Notamacropus eugenii: one gene and its partners. The main gene of each other region encodes a partner of the protein of the gene in region 2 in a complex. Links are inferred from orthologs where the notes say so. Each region holds a gene or a part of one and is shown on either strand. Other genes may lie near its edges.

Region 1 (8,009 bases), on a different chromosome or scaffold from region 2:
AGATCAGTCTCTTTCTTAATCTTGTGGGCACCAGTCTTTGGAATGCTTCATTTAAAAGTTACAAAGTAGTTTCTTCCTTCTAGAAACACATTACCATTATATTCAGAGAAGAGGGAGGTTTTCATTTTGGGAGCCAGCTCTGAAAATCAGCAGAATAGGGTTGCTCCTTTGTCCTTAACTCACCCCATGGTGCCTAATTATTGCTTGAATTTCAATGTAGTTTGTAAATTCAAACACCGGATATGTTGCAACCTGAGAGGGTGAAGTAACAATTGCCTATGACCTGTCTGTGGTAACTCTATGTGGGGTTCACATTAAGGTCCTCTTGTCCCGACAGTTGAGTAGCCTGATAATAGAAATTAGACATAACCCCTAACTGCGGTCTCTTTATGTCATTGATGGCTGTAGACACAAAGCAGAATAGTTGCCATTTTGGGGAACTTTCATTATTACAGAGAATTTCCCTTCCCCCACTCCAGTGCAGCAGGCTTTTTCCAGAAGCAGGGTAGGTGGGGTAGGGTGTATGCAATTTGCTTAGAGATTTTTTATATCTGTAGATCTCACTTTTTTTGGGGGGAGGGAAATGGGGAGTGGGAAGGGTGGTGAACTCTATCTATTAATTTCCCCTAAGATTTAAGGTTTTTGTTTTGTTTTTTGAGGTGGGGGAAGGTGGGAGGCCCCTGAGAGGTTTACTTATAACTGGAAAGAAGGCCACTAGCTTTGGACTGAGAGAACTTGGCTTCCAATTCTATCTCCAATGCTACCTGAGCTACCCCCCCCCCTCCCCAAGTTCCTTTAGACTCCTTGGGCCTCAGTTTTCTTCCTATAAAAATGGAGTCTATGTGGTTAACCAGATGGCCTCTGAGCTCCCTTCAAATTCTAAATCTCTGATCCTATGACAAAACTATGGAGGAAGTCCTGCTTATTGACTTTGTCTCATGCAAAGGAGAAGGCAGTAAAGTGGGGAGGGAGATACATGGAGGCAACCAGACTCTGCACCTGCTGCCTCAGGTTCCTGCCTCCAAGCCTGGAATGTTCTGCTTCATAGGACCTCTCACAGTGTAGTTTAGATCTTAAATCTACAGGAAGCCTTTCTGCACTGTCTCCTTCTTTCCCCTCCCTCCTCACGTACTTTCTCTTTCTCTGTTTCTGTCTCTCCTCTCCTCTTTCTGTCTCTGTCTCCCCTTAGGATCATAGATTTAGAGCTGAAAGAGGCATTAGAGACCATTTAATTCAATCTCATGCTAGAGAGGTAGAAATTGGAGGAGGTTAGGATTTAACCAAAATCACAAAGGTGGGAGACCCAGCTTCTGAGTTCCTGTCAGGACCCACTGACTCATTTTAGGGTCACTGCTCTCAACTGTGTAATGCTGCTTCCCTCACAGTGTACATCCTTTTCTCCTAGAAAAAAATGTAAGCTCTTAGAGGACGGGGATGGGTTCATTTCTATCTTTGTATCCCCACTCAGCCTCTAGTGCAATGCCTGGCATGTAGTAACAACAGTAAAAATAATAAGGTATAATAAGCACTTATGTGGCACTTTATGGCTTGCAAAGTGCTTTACAAATACTATCTCATTTGATCCAGCACCCCTGGGAGGTACTTGCTATTATCCTGATTTTACAGACGAGTAAAATGAGTCAGAGGTTAAGTGACTTGCTCAGGGTCACATAGCTGGTAAACAGCTGAAGCCGGTTTTGAACTCATGTCTTCCAGACTCCACTATAGGTGGTCAATAAATACTTGTTATGTTGTGATCAATAAACACTTGCCAGATTGAATTGAATCCTGATCTGCTTTCAAATCTCTGATTTAAAAGAACAGCTCCTATTACAGAAAATAGTACACTCCAAGAAAAGAGGACTCAGAGAAATTATTTTTGCATGTGAGATGGCCTGAAGGCCCAACATGTATGAATCTGTTTCACTGGTTTTTTGAGGTCTTGGGATCACACGAGAGAATAGCAGAGCTGAATAGACTTTTGAGATCATCTTCTCCAACCCCCTCATCTGGAAGATCAGGGAACTGAGGCCCAGAGAGATGAAATGAGTTGTGATAAAGAACTCCCAATTGAGCTGAAGTGAGCTCCCCCTCACTGGAAGTCTTGAAGCAAAGACTGGATGATTGACCACTTGTCCTGGGGGTAGTGGAGGACTTTTTTTTTTTTTTCCTACTATGGCCTAGGCTAATTGGTACTGACATCTCTCCCGATGCTGAAACTGTGTCTGTCCTAGAGAGTTGATCTGTCCTAGAGAGATGATCCCCCCTCCTCCCATACAAATATTATACAAATTGTTAACTAACTCCTAACCAGCTAGGTATTTTCAGGTCTTTCAGAAGCCAAGACTAGTTCTCTATCCCCACTACACTACCCTCAGGACCTAAGACTACATTTACAGGTAAGATTACAGGTCAGCATCATGGAGGGAATTTCCTAGATTCCATTCCACCTTCAAAAAAAAATACTACCATAAAATTGAGTATATTGGAATTATATTAATTCTATGGTGTGATTTGGAGGTCTTGTGTGTACTTTGTACGGAGGACATTCACTTAAAGATAACATGTCGTATATATTCTCTCTTTTATGTACAAGGATGACTTCTCACACATGCTTAATAAGGAATAGAAAAGCTTGGAGTTGGATTCCCCCCCACCCCCTGCCCAGTGGCTGTGGCCAGTTTCTACTTATGCTCCTTTTCTCAGTTCCTGTGGTGACCAAAGCTGTGCACCTGCACGTTAGCTGGGCATAGACATCGCTGAACTCTAAGGCCATACTAGAGAAACTGAGTGGCCCCTAGGGATAGGCTGAATCCTTTGGCCTTAGCCTCATCATTTAGGCCTCTAACCAAAAAAGCTACCAGACTATGGGCAGATAGATAACTGGAAGATTTCTTCAAGGTATTTAGTTAGTCTCTGAAAACTTATCAATGATTTTAAATGAGTATTTTCTAATGTATTTTAGCTACATTAAACTCATTGTGCATGAGTTGAAGAAAACACTGTTAAGAATATTCATTTTGAAGAAAGTCCAACACACAAAACCCCTTGCTTAACAAGTACGTAGAAAGGAACCACTTTACTTAGAAGAAAGTAATTATTCAAAAGAAAGCAAAATCTGTTACAAATTATATTTTCAAAACTGGATTGAAGGCTTATAATGTGGTCTCTCTATGCCACAAAAGAGATTACCCCCCCTTTTTCTATATGCTTTAGAAAGACTGCCCATCTTATTTTCTTTAAATGGTGACTATTCACCTCTTTCAATTTGATTTAATAAACATTTACTCACAGTTTACCCTGTGCCAGGCACTGTCCTTAAAGTTCAGGGAGCTTAGGTTTTACTGGATAGAAACTTCAACGAAACCCTGCCCCCCTGCTCCTTCCCCTCCCCCCTAGTTTAACCACCCCAGCACATTATCACTTTTCTAAGTAATATTTTATGGCTTGTGCTGATGGGATACACACCTATCAAAAGTAAAAGGTGAGAAAACTTCCCTGGTCTTTGCTGCTGTTGATGCAAATATTTGGTAAACACGTAGCAAATCATCTTATTTTTGCTAAAAAATGAGAGAGGATAGAATAAACCTTTAAAACAAGACCCAGCCTAAGATCAATACGGCCAAATGCCTAACGTACAGTACATTTGGGTAGAAACATCCCAGTTGTAATGCGGGGTCGAGTGTGTGTGCCTACCCTTTTCCTGGTTTTTTCTTCATGATTTTAGGGGTCTAGAGAGAAATTAAAGTCAGCGGCCTATCAGAGATGAAACAGAACCACCCTGTACACACAGACATGTGCGCGTGCTTGCACAGCTCCGCCAGCGAGCGCACACGTACGGGCTCTCCGGGCGCAGAAGCCTGCACGGATCCTCCGCCTCGATGCTTTATGTAACCATGTCTATTTCATGATCACGTGTGCGGATGGTGGAGCGGAGAGCATCCCCCCACCCGCTGGAGCCCTGGGCAGCGGGGCGTCCGGGCCATCGCAGGACCCTTCCCGGGAAAGTGTCCTGGGGGTCCTCCCGGCCCACCCCAGCCCCTCCCTTCGGCTAAGCCCCGGAAATGAAATGCCCTTGGTGCCTGCATCTCTGAACGTGCCCCTGTTTTCTGTGCCTGCCTTTTAGAAAGGAATGGGCATCCCAGCCCCGTCCTCCCCCGGCGGCCTGCAGCAGCTGGGGCAAGCAGGCCAGCGGCCAGGCTCCCGCCGCCTCCCCCCTGCTGGGCCCGGCCCGTTCTCCCCCTCCCCCTCCAAGCTCCATTTCCCCAGTCCCTCCTTTTCCTCTTCCCTCCTCCTCTCCGTCTCCCCTCCCACTCCCCAGTTCCTCCTCCCTCCCCTCCCCGTCTCCACGCCGCTTTCCCCTCCCCGCTCGTTTCTCCTCCCCTCTCCCCTCCCCCTCCCCGGCGTCTCTCTCCCTCCCCCTCCCCCTCCCCGCCCCGGGCGGGCGCTGGCTGCCTGCGCCGCTCTGCGCCGCGCTCGGGTTTGTTTGGCTGTGCGGCAGGAGCCGCCGCCGCCGCCGCCGCCGCCGCCGCGGGCCTCGCGAGCTCATTTGCGCCTGGCTGGTCCGGCCCCCTCCCCCTCCCCCTCCCCCGGCCCGCTCCCCTCCCCCTCCGCGCTCGCTCCCCGCGCCCCGCGCCCCGCGCCCCGCTCCCCGGCGCGGAGACTCCGAGCCGTTGGCCGCCCGCTCCGAGCCGCAGGGCTCCAGCCTCCGTGCTCCGCTCCCGCTCGCGGCCCGGCGGCGGCGCGGCGGCCGCCCCCTCCCCCGGCCCGGCTCGCGCCCCCCGCCCCCGCCCCGGCCGCCCCCGCGCGGAGCAGGGAGGCGGGCGCAGCTGGGAGGGCTCCTCGGCGGCGGCGGCGGCGGCGGAGTCGTCGCGCTGCCCGCCCGGAGCCCAGCCCGGAGCCGAGGCCGCTCCCGCCCGGGCTGCGCGGTCCGACCAGGCGCCTGAGGCCGGCCGGCCGGGGGCACTCGCTGGGCCTCCACTGCGGGCGGGAGGGGCGGCCGAGCCCCGGCCCAGCCCGGCCCAGCCCAGCCCCGGGGAGCGGCGCCAGGTAAGGAAGGGGGAGCGGGGACGAGGCCTGGGCGGGCGGGGGGGTGGTGGACGTGGAGGGGAGGGGGCTGCGCCGACTCCCGGTGGCGGGCGTGGGGGCTGGGCCCAAGGCTAGCACATTTTCCACTTGGCCCTTTGGGGAGCGGGTGTCTGACGGGGCGCTATTATTATCCTCGGTATTGGGATGGAGCCTCCCCTCCCCCTCTCCGCCCCCGCCGCCTCAGCAAGGTGATCCCGCTCCCGGTTCCGTTTGGGGTTTTTTTTAACCCTCCCCCACCCCCCATGCACCCTCCACCCTCCGAGCCTTTTCCCTCCTTTGGGGAAGGCTTTCAGGAAAAGAATTTGCAGCCGATAGAATTAGGAGCCGTCGTTAGGCAGCCTCCTTCGGAGCCTATTTTTAGCGAGGAAGGCGCCTTTCCGGGCACATTTATGATTATTAGTAATTTTCTGCAGCCCACCCGCGGCCAGCCGAAAGAACACCTTGGTTACTTAAAACGGGGGAAAACCGCCCCCCCCCCTCCCGGGGCCGACCCCGGGTCCGGGCACCTTCCCCCGGTTGGGTTAGGATAGTTTTCGGTCGTGTAAATTTCAGAAAACGAGGGATGTAATTGGAAGGATGAAAAATGTGCTTGGTGTCTGAACTCCTGCTGAAGGGGGGAGGGGAGGGAAAGCGTAGACACGCCGTCCTCACTTTCCCACTGGGTGATTGGGGTTTCCTTTCTCTTTCTGGGAGCTGCTTCTTTGTAACTTAGTTACTGTTGCTGAAAATTTTATCTTCAGGAAGTGTTCAGGAGAGGAGTGTGTTGGAAGTTGTTATTAAAAGTGTATTTCAGCAAGGGAGTTTGCTGGTAAGTTTCAGCTAGAACGGTCACCGTTTTTTTTTTTTTTTGACAGTGTAAAGGCCACGTTGTTGGTATAAAGTAGCTGCAGTTCGATGGAAATTACCCTATGGAGGTGTTTTTTCAGCCGAAGCAGACTTTTATTTATGTAGAAATGGACCTGAGGATGTAGTGTGAATGATTTCATGAATGCATTACCATATACTCAACGCTTTTAGGGAAGTTATAATTTTGGAACATTAACCACTTTATATTTTCAGCCAAGATCAACTTAATGCACTGAGCATAGATGTATGTAGTAGGCTTTGGGGTAAAACTTTATGTGGGATTGGTACTCTTTCTCATGTTGAGCTTTCAAATAATGTCGCTCTCTTCAAAAAACATGCTTTTGCAAGTTACAATTGAGTGATCCTAAGTCAGGCTTAAAATGGTTGTAATGTTTTTCAATGTTAATGTTCATTAAAACCTGGCTTGGTGCAGCCCTCTCTTCTCGTTTAAAAAAGGTCTTATTATGGGACATTTTACTATCTAATTTAAATGCTCTGCTTTGGAAATTTTACTTAGAGTCACGTCCAGTTTCCTTGTTTTCCAAATAAGAATTCCTTTTGTGGATTTGCTAGCTATGCTGAATCAAATCGGGTTGTTGAAGGCATGGGTAATTATTTGAGCCTGATTGGTTTAATTTTTTTCCCCCTTTGCTAAGTTGTAATTAAGTAATAACCTCTCTTCCCTTTCCTGGGGATTCCCTCTTGTGTGTGGATAATAAGGGGTCCTCATGATGTTTTCTTCAACATGCCTAAAGCAATTTGGAATTGTGGGGTGGGTTTTTTTTTTTTATGCTTTTAGGCAAATGCTAGTGACTGTGCTGAAATTCCCGTGGTGACTTCTTTTTTTGTTGTTAAGTGAGACACGGTGCCTCTTCGGTGTGTTATTAATCCCAGATCACTTGAGACTGTGTTCTTGCTATCTCAAGTTGTTAGTCTGGAGAGTCAGGACAGCTTTGTTTGTCTCCATGAAAACAGGGTTTTATGTCGGGTTGTTCCATGGGAGCTTAATGGCAGGCCTCCCAGATTATCATTGACAACTCCTAGAAGTATTTAGCATTTGCTTCTTGGGGAGGGAGGGAGTACAGTGAGGGTGGCAGAGGAGGAGGAGTAGAAAGAAAAATTGGCTAACCACTTAAGTGTTTGGATTCTTGATGCTACTTTATGAAAGTTTTTTCCTTTATGTACTTTCAGTCTTGTTTGAAATCTCTTACATTTTTTAAAAAAAGTTTGCTTTGAATATTCCATACAGCTAATCAACCATTACCTGTACTTGTGAGAGATGTGAATTTCAATTTATTTAAAAGATAAGGAAATCATCAACATTATTGCAGTGACGTATTGATTTTTTTACTTAAAGTACATTATTAACTAGATAGGAATTAATGGAAAAAGAGGTGTCAAATTCCCTATTTTAAATGGAAATAAAAATCAGTACCCATAAGAAAATGATTTGTGTGTTAAGAAGAAAGTTTTTCTTAAAAGTAAAGATTCAGATGCGCTCCGTATGTTATTTTTAAAACACCCTAAACTTTTTTGTTGCAGAGTTTAGTCGTTGCTGCCAGACTAACACTGCTTTTTACTTACACTAGTTTTTGTGGGATGGATTGGTTCCTTTTGTGTGTATATTTTGTATTTACTTGAGAGATTACATAAAATTTAACAGCTTTTTTGCACACACCAGAAATCTTTCCTATGTTTTAATATCTAAGTAAGATTGTTGATAATAGTACATATATAACAAAAGAACCAGTTTTCTTTACACTGAATAACTTACTTTCGTGAACTCAGGGCATTTCAAACTAATACCCAGAAAGGAAAGGAGCACAGAATAAGCATACACATTACCCGAAGAGGAGATGTGATTAATGGACCCTTTGAATGACAACCTGTTGAATAAATATATCTGTTCATGTATGGTAGTGAAACATAAATAAAACCTTGTCAGATGAATGGCTGACAAAGGAAACCACCTTTTATAATTGATTACAGTGCTGTTGCATAGAAAGAAATTCTGACTAGCCATGTTTGGGTGAAGTTGGGAGGGAGGGTTTGGTTGATGTTGCTCACTTCTCTCT
Region 2 (7,927 bases):
TAATAGTCTGAGCTGATTTATTGACAGTGCAATAAAGGGGCAAGGAACCCAAGCCAGTGCTTGAGCTTTTGTGTGCTGAGAGGGAGGCCTATTGGGGAGTATTGCTTCAGGTGCCCATCTTGAGCATGGGGCCTGCTCCCAAATTCCACACTCAAGCAGGGGAGCAAGTTGATGAAGGAGGAGTGAGCCTGGGGTGAATGTAGGGGTAACTTCTCCTCACCTTTGACCTGTCTTAGGCTGGAGATGAAGTGGAGGGAAGGGATTGAGAGGCTGGGGACCACTCTCTTCATTCCCAGACTGAGATAATATAGCCCCCAGGAAGAGGGGTTGTTTTGTTTTCCTGGAGGGCAATGCTGTCTCAGAGTGAGGAGAGGGCTTCATGCTTGTCCCTCTTCCCTGCCCAGTCAGCTACTCATCCTTGCAGTAGGGAGTGAAGATAAAGCTTGGGGAAAAGGAGAGGGAAGGGGATAGTCTTCCTGCCTCCTCTAGCCTTTCTCCACCCCTCCCCCTCCACTCTACCTCATGTTGCCCTTCCCTTCTCAATGCCCCTTGGAGCAGTGGTGCCCTTAGCCCCTCCCTCCTTAAAATCAGCTTCATAGGCTGAAGTTTTTTGTTTTTTACCTTGGGGTGCCCGCCCTTCCCTGGAAACAAACACATTTTGGGAGGGCCAGACTCACCTCACACTCATCTTGAGCCACCTGGCGGTAACACCTGAGATAAAGAAGGAAAGGGCTACCATAAACTCTCTAACTTCATCTAGTCAGAAAACTGGACCTACTAAGCAGGGACTGTGGCTTTATCCAGTGACTCTGCCCACCCTGACTTCTCTATACACACATCTGATTGTTGCCTACCTGGAGATCTGAGGCATCCAGTTTGGCTGGCTGTCCATTAGTTTCCCTTCTGGTCAACACTGGCCTTGTGTCCCTCTCTCTGGCTGCTGCCTCTGAGTCTTCCATGGCTCCAGAGGGCTTCTCAGTCAGAAAGGGGACAAGGCTCCTTTCTCTGAGGCCCCCATTCTGTACAGGGGAACTAGATAGGATGCCAACCTCTGGCCCTGATGCTGGAAGTCTCTCTGTGGCAGGAGTTCCAGTCCCAATCTGCCCTTTCCCAGAACTCTGGCCACCCCCTGGGTCCTGCCCACCACTGAAGCCCCAACTTCTATCGATGGGTGAGCCATCTCGATGTTCATGAAGCCCAAGTCTCTTCTCAATATGTGTCACCCGGAACCTGGAAGGGAAGGGAATATGCTGTGACTCAGGATTGCTAGAGGTTCTCTGAACCCTTTCTCCCAACACTGCCCCCAGCACTCCCATTTACTGACATTTGATAGCTTCTGAAAGCAAAGGAATCCTCAGCACATAGATGAATCAACCCCAAGAGTACTCCCTGGCTGGAAACCCTCCTCTTCCCCTACCCTCCAGAATAGGAGGGGAGTAATACTAAGTAAGGAAGCCTGGATAAATCTTCCGGTCAGGCCAACTGTCTTAGAAAGATTTACCACCTGAATGGGAGGCCCTGAATGCTGCCCCCCTCTTCTTTGGGTGCTCTATCCACACCTGCCCACAGAGAATACTGTGGTCTCTCCTGGCCTAGTACGGCCCTTGCCCTCTTTGGATCGGCCCTGTCGGACGAGAGGTGGCCTCTTGTTTCGGCTGCAGTGGATACAAGGGGCTGATGAGCCCAGGTGAACTGTATGGTGATGAGATGGAGTCCCATCCTGGAGGCTTGGAGCACCATCAAGACTGAAAGAATAAAGGAAAATCCTTTCCACTGTGCCCTCTGTGCATCCATTCGACACTCCCCCCCCCACCCCCCATCTTTCTATCTGCCCTATTCTTTCTCCAAACTCTGATTCACACCAAGGAACTAGTGACAACATTTTGTGACTCAAGGCTATTTAAATCCAATGAGGCTACATTGTGAAGTCAATAACTAGCCTAAAGAATGAATGATGGAATTGAGACAGTGATACTTGGATAGCCTGGTGCTCCTCAAATCATAGTGTCCAACTAATTAAGTTGTGACTTTAACAGGGGCTAGTTGTTAAGGAGAAAGTGCTGTCCTGATCAGTATTTGGGGGAATTCTCCACACTTCCAGCTCACCTGGACAGCTGTACTGTTGCCTCACCTTCACTGTCCCCAAGCATCTCTTTCAAGGCCTCAGCATTGGCTGTAAAAGACAAGTGGCAAGAGAATGTCATGGATGTAGGAATGGAGCAGGGGACTGAACAGCAGATGCCAGTGAGCACTTGCCTTCATTTTGGATGATGCATTGGACAATCCTTTCCACTGTGTCCTCATTCACATCCTCATCATCCGCTGTGGAGGGGAGGAAAGGGGTCAACTTCAGGGAAAGAGAGACTGGGGCCAACGCAAAGTCACTGGCCTTTGGATTGTTCCTTTGAGTTTCATGACCACCTTATTTGGCTTCCTGGCAGTTCTAGTGGTTCAAGATCAGTGACCACCATAGGATTACAACTCCAAAGCCATAAAGGACGTTAGAGGTCATAGAGTACAATCCCTTCATTTTATAGATGGTAATATCGAGTCACAGAGAACTGAGGTGGTAGGAGATTGCCAAAGTTTCACAAGGAGGCCGTTCTCTTCCTCCTGCCTCCTTTTCACTTTCCCAGGGGTTCTGTTTCAGCCTACTGTATAATTTCAGGAGTAATGAACCAGCAGGTCCCCAAAATACTTCACGAGACCTCAGTCACTGTGATTTTTGCCTTTTAGTTACTGAACTCACTGCACTCTATCCCCCAAACTAAGCTGCAAAAACTCCCTGACAGGTTAATGAAACATGAACTGTGAGTTATGGATAACAGGGGAGCAAAGGGGGATGGAAGTCGCTCTGGAGGAGTCATCTTCCCACCAGGGGTAGGAGAGAGGAAGAAGAGACCTGGATAAGGTGCACTCAGGAGTGTTAGTGAAAGGTGCAGGTGTGTGTGGCACATACAAGTGTGTGATGGAAGGACGTACAAGGAAGAAAATGAAGGCGGCTGGTCCCTGGTGATGGGGCTCCCCCTCTTTTCCCACACTTACGTGGCTGGAGCTGGGCATCCTCGGGCTCTGAGCCTCTCGATGTCCGACAGCGATAACCCTTCTTCTTGAGTACATGGCAGATCATGAACCCCACGAGGCCCATGAGAAAGAAGACCAACACAAGAAGGAACAGCATGTACAGCCCATGCTGGGGCTCTGGTCCTGGTTGCAATTCCGACATGCGGCCCTGGGGGGCGGGCCGAGCCGGGGTCAGGGCCTCAAAGAGGGATGGAGTCAGGGGGAGGGCGGTGAATTCCATGCTTGGACCCCTACCGGGAGTCCCCCCAGGACCCTCCAGTAAATCCAGAACCCCTTGCCTTCTCAGCCCAGGAGCTGTCCAGGGATTGGGTGCTAGTCAGCCAGGCCCCGGGGCACCTGGTCAATAGGGGTTGCAAGTTGTTTTCCATACTCCTAATCCAACCTTCATCCCTCTTCCCTTTGATATTACGTGCCTTCCTTCTCCCTGCATAAACAAACCCTACTTTCTCCCCATCCCCATTCCTCCCAAGGACACTGTCACTGAAGACTGGACGGAGCTCTATGATGCGGTCCTGGGCATAGTCTGAGTCAGCGCTGGCCCCTCACTTCCTCCACAACCCCAGGTCAGGTCCCCTGAAACGCTCCTTTCCTTCAATACCCCTCAGTTTGTCCCACCGCTCTCCAACTCCTGGCTCCTAGAGACATTCTGGACTCCCCTCCCTCTCCAGAATGCACCCCCCCCCCCCTCAATTCCCCTGGCCCAGCTGACCTTGTGGTCTCTGCACGGCCCCTGGGGATGCGGTATGTATGTTCGGCTTTGGCTCCGGCAGCGTCCTAGTACCTCTCAGCTTGCCCTGGGAGCCCTTCCCGAGAGCATCCTCCTCCCCCCTTCTCCCCACCCCCCAGGCCACCTCACCCGCTCCAGCTCCGGCTCCGGGCTGCGGCTGCTGGTGCCGCGGCGGGCTGGGGGTAGGGGAGTAGGGGTACAGGAAGGCGGAGGATAGGGAAGGAGGGAAAGCGGAAATCGAATTGGGTGCAGGCGTCCTCTGGACTTTCAGGGTTGGGGATGGGAAGGGGATGGGGGGGCCTCTACCGCAGCCACCTCCTAGTCCCGGCTGCTCTCTCTCCGGCTGTGCTCCCTGCGCGGGCACGGGAATAAAGGGGGCGGAGCGGCAGGTGTGTGGGACGGAGTGCGTGCGTGACACCACAGTGTCTGACACGGCTAGGTCTCCGTGTCAGTGTGTCCCACTCGGGGCGTGGGTCTCTCAGGCACCTTGGCCACCGCTGGGTGATATGCCCCCTTGTTCTGGTTCTTGGGTACAACCCGGGAATCTGGGAGCCCGGCAGGTGGGAAGGTGTCAGTTGCCCTTCGGGCAGGATACAGACAGCTCCCTGCACCCTAGGACAGCCTCTCATCCCCAGTGCCCAGGTAGAAACGCGGCGGCGGGATGTGAACCCCCTACTTCTCAGGGTGAATAGGAGGGGGGATGGGATGCCCACGGACTGAACGATTAATAAACCTCTGTGGAATTAAAGGCTTGGAAAATGGGGAACTCTGAGATGCTCAGCTTCTCGGGGACCGATTGTGCACTTCAAGTTCCGCGGATACCCCGGGAACACCCTCCCTCTGGGGCTCGGCCCCACCCTCCCCGCGGTGTTCAGTCACCCCAGCCAGCAGAAGCAGCCAGCCTTGAGGGGGCGGAGCTACCGGAGTCAGGGGGCGTGGCACCTCTGGGCCGGGGCGGGGCCTTGATTTCCCCCTCCCTTGAGCCTTGGAGACCCCAGCGACCTCGGATTCCGCAAGGGGCGTGGCGTCGCGCGATGACGCAGAACGCACGGGCCTGGAGGCGGGGCTGGAGGGCGGAGGCGCGGGGCCTGGTCCCCCTGGTACTATGGCCAAGACGGTGGCCTATTTCTATGACCCGGATGTGGGGAACTTCCACTATGGTGAGAATGGGGAGGAGAACCCCGGGCAGCGAGGTGGGGAATGGGGGAGGAAGAGGGCGGGGGAGTAGGGGGCACGGGCGCGAGCAGGCTCCCTCACCTCTGTCCCCCCACCCCCCACAACCCGGACCAAGTGGAGGATTGGGAGGTGGGGGTGGGGTGGAGCGAGTTCCCTAGGACCCTGGGGAGGGAGGATCCTGGTTGGGCCCTTTGGGGTGGTGACTCGGAGACCCTTCTTTACCACCCCTTTCTCCAGGGGCCGGTCACCCCATGAAACCTCATCGTCTGGCCCTCACCCACAGCCTGGTGCTGCACTATGGACTCTACAAGAAGATGATTGTGAGTGTTTCTCCTCCATCCTCTCCACCACCCCACGATTGGAGAGGGGGTGCAGTGCGGGAGGGGAGTGTGCACTTGCACTTGGGGTGCAGGCTTAGAGGAAATGGGGACAGGGAGACCCCTTCATCCCCTGAGTCATACATAGATAGGTTAATAGGGGTTAGAAAGGTTGTTAATAATGATTGGAAGGGATGTTAGAGATCTCTCTAGTGAAACGCCCTTCATTTTATAGATGGGAAACTGAGGCCAAGAAAGGGGAAGTTAAACAGGTAACCTATGTAGAAAGCCTGTGATTTGAACCAAGATCTTCTGACTCCAAATCCAACATATATATATATATTTTTTTACAATATCACCTCACCTCTCATGCTGTCCCACAGTATCCTTTTATTATCATAGGAAGATGCCAGAACTTTAGTATCCCAACAGAATGAGAGGATACTTTGAGTATGCACCTGTACAAGAGTTAACTCAGCCCTTCCGTCTTTCTGTTTTGGTTTGTATGGCCTTAGGAGGACTCCCTCCAAGTTGAGAGTTAAGGGGCTTGGGTTGGCTACTCATATACTTGGCACCTCTCTGTTCCCCCCCTCCAAAAAAGATACACCCCAAAATCTACCACAGCACACACAGAACCTTGTCTCTGTGGCTACTGGCCAAGGCATATTTCTTTGACATGGTTAGGTCATGGAAGATGAGAACTGAGACTGTTCCGACTCAGAATGGTATGCATATGCATGCCGTTGATGGTCACTTTTAGGATTACTGTTAAATATAAAATCCATAGATGGGTTTGCTTAGAATAGGGTTACTAAAATAGATTGGCTACCCTGTGGAGTCTTTTGATATATATATACTGAATTTGTTTTTCCAGTATTTGTAGAGCTCTGTATTTTGATATAAAAGAGAAAGCATTTACCTTTAGAGAGTGTTCTAACTATTGGAAAAGACATAATCTCCAATTTCAGAAAGCTTCCAATTAATTTGGGGAATCATAACAAAGAGAATACAATAATAATGTACTATATTTGTATATTGATTGATGCTTTTCAAAATATTTTCATGTACAATGTCACATTTGAATCCAGAGGTGATCGGACAGCAGGACTATGGAGAAGGACAGGAAGGAGTGGGGGACCGAGGAAAGGGTGACATGGGAAACATGAGAATGTGGGTGGGGATAAATATAGCAAAATAGTCAATGACTGAATTCAGCATCTTTGCTTTAGCCTCAGATTGATCTTTTTTTTCCATGGGGAGACCTCCATGTAAGAGGGAGTGTGTCTGTATGTGTGTGTGTGTGTGTGGGTACTTGGGTGGGAGTACGTTGGAACCTCTGAGGTTGGACTGAAGCAGTCAAAGCCTCCTAATTTGGAACTAATCCTGCCAAAGTTCAACATGTTTTCTTTATTCCAAGGTCTTCAAGCCATACCAAGCCTCTCAGCATGATATGTGCCGCTTCCACTCAGAGGATTATATTGACTTCCTGCAGCGGGTCAGCCCCACCAACATGCAGGGCTTTACTAAGAGTCTCAATGCCTTCAATGTGGGGGATGATTGGTGAGGGAAGGTCAAGGGACCCTTGATGTGGATCAGTGTTGGTCATTGGGGTGGGGAATTAATTGTAGAGAAGAAGGAGGGAAGTTATGGGGAGAAAAAGACATAAGGTACTGTGTCAAATGTAATTGGGGACACACAGAAGTACAGTTTTGAACTTGAGGAATTTATATTCAAGTTGGGGAGACCTGCCATATAGGGTAAGTAGTACAAACTCCCAAACTTTTTAGCTTGGCCTTGAGGGTTATTCCTGGTCTTTCTTTTAAACTGACTCTCCAACTTTGTCTTTTGCTCCTCCCCTACACGAACTGCCAACTGATTTTCTTTTTTCCTCAATATGCCATGCATATTCTGCTTTGCCCATGTCCTTCTACCTATTTAAATTCTACCAGTTGTTTAGCTCAAGTTCCAAATCCTGCATGAAGCCTTCTGGTGGCTGCAGCCTCATTATTTCTCCTTCCTCTTATTTCCTATAGCATTTTTGGCTGTACTATTGACTTGACACTAATTATATGCTATGTTATGATATCTCTTAAATTGTTCTTCATTTTTCTTTATGTGTGTCTTTCCCCACAGTGCCTAGAATAGTGTTGGGCAAATATTAGGTGTGCAATAAATAAATAACATTCTCTGTGTGTGTATATACATATATATACATATATACACACATACTTTTTTTTTTTTAATAAAAAGACGAATGAATAGGATGGAAGGTAAAAGAAAGAGGGCCTAAATTGGATTAGGTGTATTGCCTGAGAGGGTGTTCAGTTTCTTGAGAAAGGAGCCAAGGCTCTGAGTGATCCAGCCATGACCTCTGTCTTACAGTCCTGTGTTCCCAGGCCTCTTTGAGTTCTGTTCCCGTTACACAGGTGCTTCCCTGCAGGGAGCTACACAATTGAACAACAAGGTAAGCATATCCTTGTCCACCCCCATTCATCCACTGCTATGGTATCCACAACCACTGAGCTTTTGCCCCATCCTCATGTTCCCTGTGCCTTAGGTATGGGGAGGGCTATGATTTGGATGTTTGTCCTTTAGATCTGTGATATTGCCATTAACTGGGCTG
Region 3 (7,650 bases), about 310 Mb from region 2:
TTGTCAAAAGCTGCCTTTTTTCCTTAGCTCTGCCCCTCTGAAAACTTTTTGGCACCAACTACTCCATAAAGCCTTTCTTTCTTTAATTCTCTCAGGTAGTTGTATTTTCTCTTACTTCATTATGGGCCAAACACCTCAACTGCTCTGTGCTGATGGAGCCATATTAATTAGTGATAAGGATATAATCCTAAGAGATGGGCTAAACACTTTCATAGTTTTCTCAACAGAGCATTAATCCTGTATTTATTTATTTATGTTATACCTCTTCAGTTGAAACTAAAGTCCTTGAAGGGAGGACTTTTGTCACTTTGATCTTTATTTCCCTGGTACTTAGTACTCTGAACATAGCAAGTGTTTAATAAGTATTCATTGGATTCAAGTCTGAAATGTGCCACATAAGTCAAAGACATGAAAAAATACTAATAATTGACAAATATGCTCCACTTTAAGGCTTATAATATGCTTTCCTTATAGTGAGGCAGGTAGTACAGTTAGAATTATTCTTATTTTACAGATGAGGATAGTGAGGTTTAGGGAGAGAAAAGGAACATATGCATACCAGTATCTCTCATTATAAGTAAACTGAATATACATGCATGTGTGTGCATGTGCATGTGTGTGTATACGTGTATGAATTTAAAACCTAAAGAGTTTATAAAGTAGACAATGGATTCGTTTCTCATAGCTTAGAACCTTAAACTTAAGGAATTCTTAGGTTGGAATTTATAGTGGGTTAGTGAGAACAAGTAGATAACCGAACAATCCCTACTAGGTAACATTGGTAGATCTAAATCCCAAGACTCTGTGATCTCACCGTGTATGAAAGAGAAGCCTGAACATAATCTCTGGGAGGTACAAATGTAGGATCTAGAGACACGCAGTCATGGGAGACATTTCACGACTATTTTTACAATAATGCAAGAAAACCCTTTAGTTCCTCTGGGAAATTTAGCTGACACAACAAGAAAGGTTTATCCTGGAGAAACCTGGGAAAGTTTGACAGCCCACTAGAGAGGGGTTGGAGGTTGGTGTGAGCTTTAAATTTCTGCCTCCTCACTATCCACAACTTTTATACGCTTCCCTACCTCTGCAGGATACAGGATAGAGGTACATAGTGCATGTACCTAGATACATGTGTCCCCAAGAAGTATTAACTGAGATTACAAAGTATCCTGGATCAGCTCCCTGTTCTCACCCCGAAATGTGCCTATTCTGATGATTTCAGCTATGACTGCAATAAGGGTTTAATTTTCTGGGAAGGCAATAGGGTGGGGAGAAACAAAATAACGCTTGCTCCTATACAAGAACCCAAGAGCTTTTATTTCTTCTCTTTACACACTGTGTTTCCTTGCCTCTCACCTGTACTACTTTCCCATTCCATCCACTAAAGTTTTTCTTTCTTTTCTTCCATCTAGGAAACGGGAGAGTTCAGGAAAGCAATGATCAGGTAAGTTCACTGAATAGATGGCCAGATAGGCAATGGCAAAGTTAAAGGAGTACACACATTTCAGGGAATGAGCAGGGAAGGCCTTGGAGAGCATGAACCCTGATAAAGGACAGAGAGATTATCCTCTAGGTACCCCATTCAGCTTCACTGTCCTCCTCCCAGCAACTCAGGATTATGATTCTGAATTCTCTGATTCCTATATCCTCTGATTCAGAAATTCTCTCTGAAATGAACTTCTATTTCTTTACATGACATTGGGAGATACAAGTTTCAGATGCCAATTCACATACTCTCAAGAGAGGAAAAGTTTACAACTGTATCACCACCTCCTATTGTTCCCTCCACTCTCTAGTTACTATAATCCTTATTGAAATACAATTCTTTTACTAGGAACAAGGTGATAGGCATTCAACTCTGCTGCTCCCTAGATATCCCTATGTAAGTTACCAAACCAATATTCCTTTCCCCCAACATCCTACCAGACATCCCATCCAATGGAAGATTCCAGATCTAGCCAGGAGCTCCATTTGCTCTTTCTCAAAACTTTCCAATACCTCTCTAAGGAGAACCAATGAATCACTTCCAAGTTGTCCCAGCTTGGGAGTTGCATGTCACAAGACACTTCTCTCTTTAAAGAAATAATTAAGACCTATAGATTTGGACTCTCTAGGGCTAATGAAACCTTTGAGATCATCTTGCCACTCATTCCTTCCTTCCACTATTTTATGGAAGTGAAAACTAGAACCAGAAAAATTAAATGACTTGCCAAAGGTCATGTAGATAACAAGGAGCTGCTGTTACTCAAACACAAATTTTCTGATCCAAAATCCAGGGTGTTTTCCATAATACCATATTTTCAGAACATATAACTCTTAGGCACTTCTAATAAATACCTTTTAATTCAATGCAGGTCTAACTACTTCCGGATGGCTTTGTGTTTTTGTGCTCTCTCCCCTTAAAGCCCTCCTCCCCAGAACTCTATAGAGCACCAGAGTTTGATCTCCTTCTTTCCCTTCCCAGAGGTTCCCTCACTCCAAGTGCTAATCTTAACAGATAATTCTAAAATTATTCAATTAAAAGTCAGTAACCAAAGGGGAAAGAGGTTCACTCCACATTTCCTCTGTCCTCCACCTCACTAACCTGGATGAAAATATGGAGTTTCACATGGAAGTATTTTCATCACCTTACTCAAAATGTGATCATTGTTTTCAACGTCTTGATTTTGCCTTCTAAATATTCTTAGAATGATTGTTGTGTCCGCTTGTCTAAAAGCTAACAAAATCAGCTTTGGCACTTCCGAGATTTGAAACTAACAGTCACATATCTCAGAATCTCAGACAACTGGAGAAGGTAAAGATAGTCTGCCTTCTTCCCCTGCCTCCACCCACCACCACTCTGGGTTCTGGTGACTTACCATCTTTTTAGTTGTTGAGGAAAGATAAGAATTTGGATCGCTGGGTTCCTGCCTCTTGGCCATCTCTCAAATGCCGAGAAAATAACACAGCCTCAGCTTAAGAGGAATCATATTAGAACGACACATCTTCCTCTTCTAGCCCAGCCCAGCCTATGTATGGGTGTGTAGCAAACGACAATGAAATTTGAACTTGAAACTCTGTCTGTCAGAGGGGTGTGTCAGTGTGGGCACTCAGTCCTGGCCTGTTTACCTGTGACCTTGGGGGAATCTGTTGCCTGCACTTTGTTTGACTAACCTGCTTCACCACAGTTGTCAAGCCTCCTATCTGATGCCCAGGGCTGTTGCCAGCATAGATTACTTCAGAGATTGGTCTCAGTCTTGCTTAATTCAGATTTCCCTTCTGGGAGATCTCTTCTGCCTTTTCCTTTATCCTTTCCTAAATAGGCTTGGAAAAGAATCTCCTTCAGAAACCCCCAGGTCCATAGGGCCCAGGCACAGGGAGTGTTTTGGCAAGAGATAGGATCAAGCTTGAGCCTGCATAGGGCCCGTGGGAGAATGAGTTCCCCAAAAGCTGCACCTTCCTTGGCTTCCAGAAATCATCCTGGCTTTGTTTGGGATTACGTTTCATCTAATGTGTATGTATCTTGGATGTGTGTCTGTATGAATGCATGTATCTCTTTCTCTATGTTTCTGTCTCTGTGCATATATATATATATGTATATATTTGTCTTAATGTTTATGTTACATATTGTACCATTCAAAGTTACGATTATGTAAAATATGGTCATTGGCTCCAACCCAATGGAAATAAATAGTGAGAATTCAAACCAATGAGACCACTTCAGGTGATTCATTATTCCCACTAATTGGAACATAGCTATGTTTAAAAATTGCTTGTCGACTGATCGATTACTTTTCTTGAACTCACAGAGGTCAAATAGAATGATGGATGAAGCACTAGCCTGAGAATCTAGAGACCTCCGTCAAGTCCTAACTGATAATCATAAGATGATGACCATTTTAATTCTCTCAGCCTCAATTCTTTCATCCATAAAATAGGGATTATAATACCTGCACTGTATCTATCTCACAGTGATTGTAAAAAAAAAAATCACATAAATGCAAAAAGATTATGATTATTTAATAATAAGCAAGTTTTGGCAAATCCTCTGGTTGCATCGCATATGAAACAAGAAGCAGAGTGGTGGCTAGGGGGCATCCTCCAATTTCCAAGAGAAGGAATTCTGAAGCTGCTTTCTGGTTTACTCCTTGCATTCAGATTCTTTTCTGTATCAAAACAGGATCATTGCCCTGCAATCCAGGACTGATACACAGGTGGAAATCTCTTGTATTAAGTACTGTTCTTTCTTCAAGTTAGTAATTTTGTCTTTTTCCCCCCCAGCATGTATAACCCTTTAGTGAGATAAGTGATCCATCAATCATTCCCATCCACTGGCTTTTACAAACACATACTCTTTCCTTAGCAAATCTGAATAATGTTTTTGTTTTTCCTTGAAGGGGAATAAGAATTAGCACCCTATAGTGTGCTAGACCAGGATTCGGATGACCCAAGTCCTGGAACCAGCTACTGCTAACTGGCTATATTACCTTGGACCTTTGAAGAAGCATCATGGGCACGGGACAAAGAGCTAGTCTGGGAGTCAGAAAGACCTGAGCCCAAGTCCCACCTCTGACACATACTGACTGGCTGACCCTAGTCAAGAGACTTTGCCTCTGAATGTGTTTCTAGGTAAAGAGAGGCCTTAGACACTTACTAGCTATGTGACTCTGGGCAAGTCACTTAATTCTGTTTGCCTCCGTTTCCTCATCTGTAAAATGAGCTGGAGAAGTAAATGGCAAACCACTCCAGTATCTTTGCTAAGAAAATCCCAAATGGGGTTATCAAGACTAGGACATGACTGAACAACAACAGACTTTCTAAGATATAAGCTGCAGAAGAGTTGTACGTTTTCACTGGTAAAGGCAGTTTCTTAAAGTTCTTATACTGATGATATCAAAGGTCTAGTCTTTCTCCTTCTCTTCCCCTCAAGACCTTGGCTAAGTCACTTTGTTGTACCTCAGTCTGCTCATTTGTAAAATCGGGGAATTGTATTTGATGCCTTCAAACATGATCCCTCTCCCAGCTCTGACAGTTCATCAATCTATCAATATAGGTGCAGAAGGGAGGGTAAATGGGGTGGGAGGGTCCTCAGGCTCTTCTTGGATGGAAAGCAATGGAAATAGAGGAAGCATTAACTCGCACACTATAGGTGCTTGATAAATCCTTGGGTTGAATTAAGTAGCCCAGAGGACTTGCAGCAGTATGGTAGGAAGGATAGTGCATTGTGGGCAGCAAAAAGGAAGCAAATACAGGCAACCTGTCCTCAGGTGGCACTGGGAGATTCCCTGGGGACATCCCCTGAAGCAGAATTGAGTGGTAGCCAATGATACCAGCATTTCTGCCAGGATATTTAAGGGAGTGAAATGAGAGGTAGCTGATGCATCTTGGACCAAACTGGCCTATGCATGGTGGTGAGGTACTGTGTGGCTGATAAGGATCAACCACAGGGGAAGGGCTGGTTGAGTCCTGGAGGAACAAGGCTCTCTCTCTTTTCTTATTCCCATGCATCCTAACTGTGGTGAGCAGGAGGTATGTCTGTGTTGGTCCAGGGTGTGGACTTGTGATGTCTCAGAGGCATTCCCCATGTTGTCTGCCTGCATCAGATGAGCGGAGATTATTCCTGGTTTCCCATTCTTAAAAAGGGGCCTCCAGTGCAGGTTTCAGGCATACATATGTGACTTTTCAAGTTTCCTCTTTTTTTCCCCTTCTTTCATTCACTCCCACTCTGTACCCGTAGCTCCTTTGGCTGGGAGCCCAGGTGGAAGAAACAATAACAACAGCTGAGTTATCTACCATTGACAAGGGTCTCATCGAGGATCTCCTAGCATGTGGCAAGGGGTGCGAGCCTTCTGATGAAAGGAATGTTCTGGCTAACTAAAAGTGGATGGATTTCTGCAGTGAAACTGTCCTCAATAAGAGGGATCTGCTTTAGGACATAGGAAGCTTCCTCTAGAACTCTCTTTTAGGGAAGCCCTGAGAAGCAGGGGTATAGTGGGCAGAGAGCTGGCCTTGAAGCCAGAAAGGTCTAAGATTAAGCCCTGCCTTTGACACATGCTAAGTGTGCAACTCTGGGTATAACACACAAACTCTATGTGCTCTAGGCAATTCTCTAAGACTATAAGTTAGGATAGGAGGCAAGGGAAGAAAAAATGGAGAAAAAAGAAATTTACATGATAATTGCATTATGTATTTAAAAGAAACAGCAAGTTGTACATAACAGATTTGCAGTTTCATATGCAATCATCTTTTTAAAAATTATACTCTATTATGAAAATGCTTGTTTTACTCCATAAATTAAAAATAAAAGAAATACATGTAATATAATATTCATAAAATAAATAAAAATAAAATTTTCACAAAGACTATAAGTTACAGAGTAGTTTCTAACCTGCATTGATAGGAGGAATTTCCTCACCTGGGAATGATTTCTTCACCAGTAGAATCATGCATCCAGTTCCTATCCCACAATTATGTTGCCTGCGATATCAATTCGTGTATTTTAAGAAGTATATGGCCCAATCTCTTGATTCACCAACAACGTCTCTTTTCCTTGCTAGGCTTTAATATTCTCTTCTATGAAATCAAAAAGTTAACTTGGCCAAATGATCTCTAAGATCGCTTCCAACTCTGACATTTTAAGGTTTCTTCCTACTCTGCAGGTGAAAGATGTAGAACTGGGAATCATTCCTAGAGAAGTAGAGGTTGAAGCCAGAAAGCAAACCAGAGAGAGAGGATTGAAGAGATTCAGATGTTTTTCGAAAAATGAAAAACTCAAAGGTATTATTATTTCTATTATTATTAGGATGAAAAATGTGGCCTCTATGGAGATGAGCAGTAGATTATCTTAGGAATTTCACTTTTGGTGAAAGAATCCCCAAGGCTGAAGTTGCCATATTTCCAATTAGTCAGTGCATAACAAGGGTGAAGTTGTAGGAGGGGGGAAAATGAAGATTAAGAGCCAATTTAAAAGAATCTTATGTTTTTAGAGATTTCGATGTCATGGAGTTCAATCCCACACTTTTCTGGTTGAGGTGACTGAAGGTCAGAGATGATTTGCTAAAGGTTGCATAGTAAGTAGAAGAACCAGGAGCTGGACTCGTCTTCTGACCCTAAGTCAGTGCTCATTCAGTACTATAACATTGAGTCTGGGTGCCAAAATGGCTTCTTCCAGCACAACTGCTCCATGTAGCACTTTCTATTCTTGAGTATGGGCAGAAGACCACCTTCCACTCGACCACTCCCTCATGTTCTAATCCCCTGTCTTCTACTCAGGAAAGATAGCTTTTCAGATTAAAAGCATTTGAATATTGAACATCAAAACACACACTACACCATGTTATCTAAGAAAAAACAAAGCTGACATTCCTACAATATCTTTCTGGAAGAAAGAAGCTTCTAAAGAAAGTTCTCCCTTTCAATGAATACAATGCCTATTATCCCACTGATAGAGAAATGGGAATAAAAATGAACAGTTTTCATCCTATTGGGGAGAAGTGAATTGAATTAATTCATTAGAAGCCAGTACTTTCCTTCCTTCCTTCCTTCTCTCTGTCTCTGTCTCTGTCTCTCTCTCTTTCTTTGTCACTGAACATTAAGGGGCTTCAATGGCTGTTGGGGTCATGAGTTACTAAATGAAAGTCCATTGGTTTTCAGCAAGTGTTCACATTT

The links. The genes of interacting proteins can lie anywhere in the genome.
Region 1: HDAC3 (region 2) and TBL1XR1 share a complex: the UniProt entries of both Homo sapiens proteins name them as parts of the N-Cor repressor complex. The link is inferred for Notamacropus eugenii from reciprocal best matches to the Homo sapiens genes HDAC3 and TBL1XR1.
Region 3: HDAC3 (region 2) and CORO2A share a complex: the UniProt entries of both Homo sapiens proteins name them as parts of the N-Cor repressor complex. The link is inferred for Notamacropus eugenii from reciprocal best matches to the Homo sapiens genes HDAC3 and CORO2A.

The regions. Positions count from the first base shown.
Region 1 is NC_092877.1:346,936,406-346,944,414, forward strand, and holds the start of TBL1XR1 (F-box-like/WD repeat-containing protein TBL1XR1), read left to right. Parts: upstream 1-4,985; 5' UTR 4,986-5,049; intron 5,050-5,206; exon of another isoform or gene 5,207-5,896; intron 5,897-8,009. UniProt on the Homo sapiens protein: F-box-like protein involved in the recruitment of the ubiquitin/19S proteasome complex to nuclear receptor-regulated transcription units. Plays an essential role in transcription activation mediated by nuclear receptors.
Region 2 is NC_092872.1:369,001,051-369,008,977, reverse strand, and holds the start of HDAC3 (histone deacetylase 3), read left to right. Parts: upstream 1-4,884; 5' UTR 4,885-4,916; coding exon 4,917-4,971; intron 4,972-5,224; coding exon 5,225-5,307; intron 5,308-6,621; exon of another isoform or gene 6,622-6,721; coding exon 6,722-6,864; intron 6,865-7,686; coding exon 7,687-7,768; intron 7,769-7,899; coding exon 7,900-7,927. Other genes in the region: RELL2 (RELT-like protein 2), read right to left, coding at 855-1,230, 1,560-1,745, 2,107-2,173, 2,257-2,322, 3,046-3,304. UniProt on the Homo sapiens protein: Histone deacetylase that catalyzes the deacetylation of lysine residues on the N-terminal part of the core histones (H2A, H2B, H3 and H4), and some other non-histone substrates.
Region 3 is NC_092872.1:63,135,216-63,142,865, reverse strand, and holds the start of CORO2A (coronin-2A), read right to left. Parts: upstream 3,025-7,650; 5' UTR 2,925-3,024; coding exon 2,862-2,924; intron 1-2,861.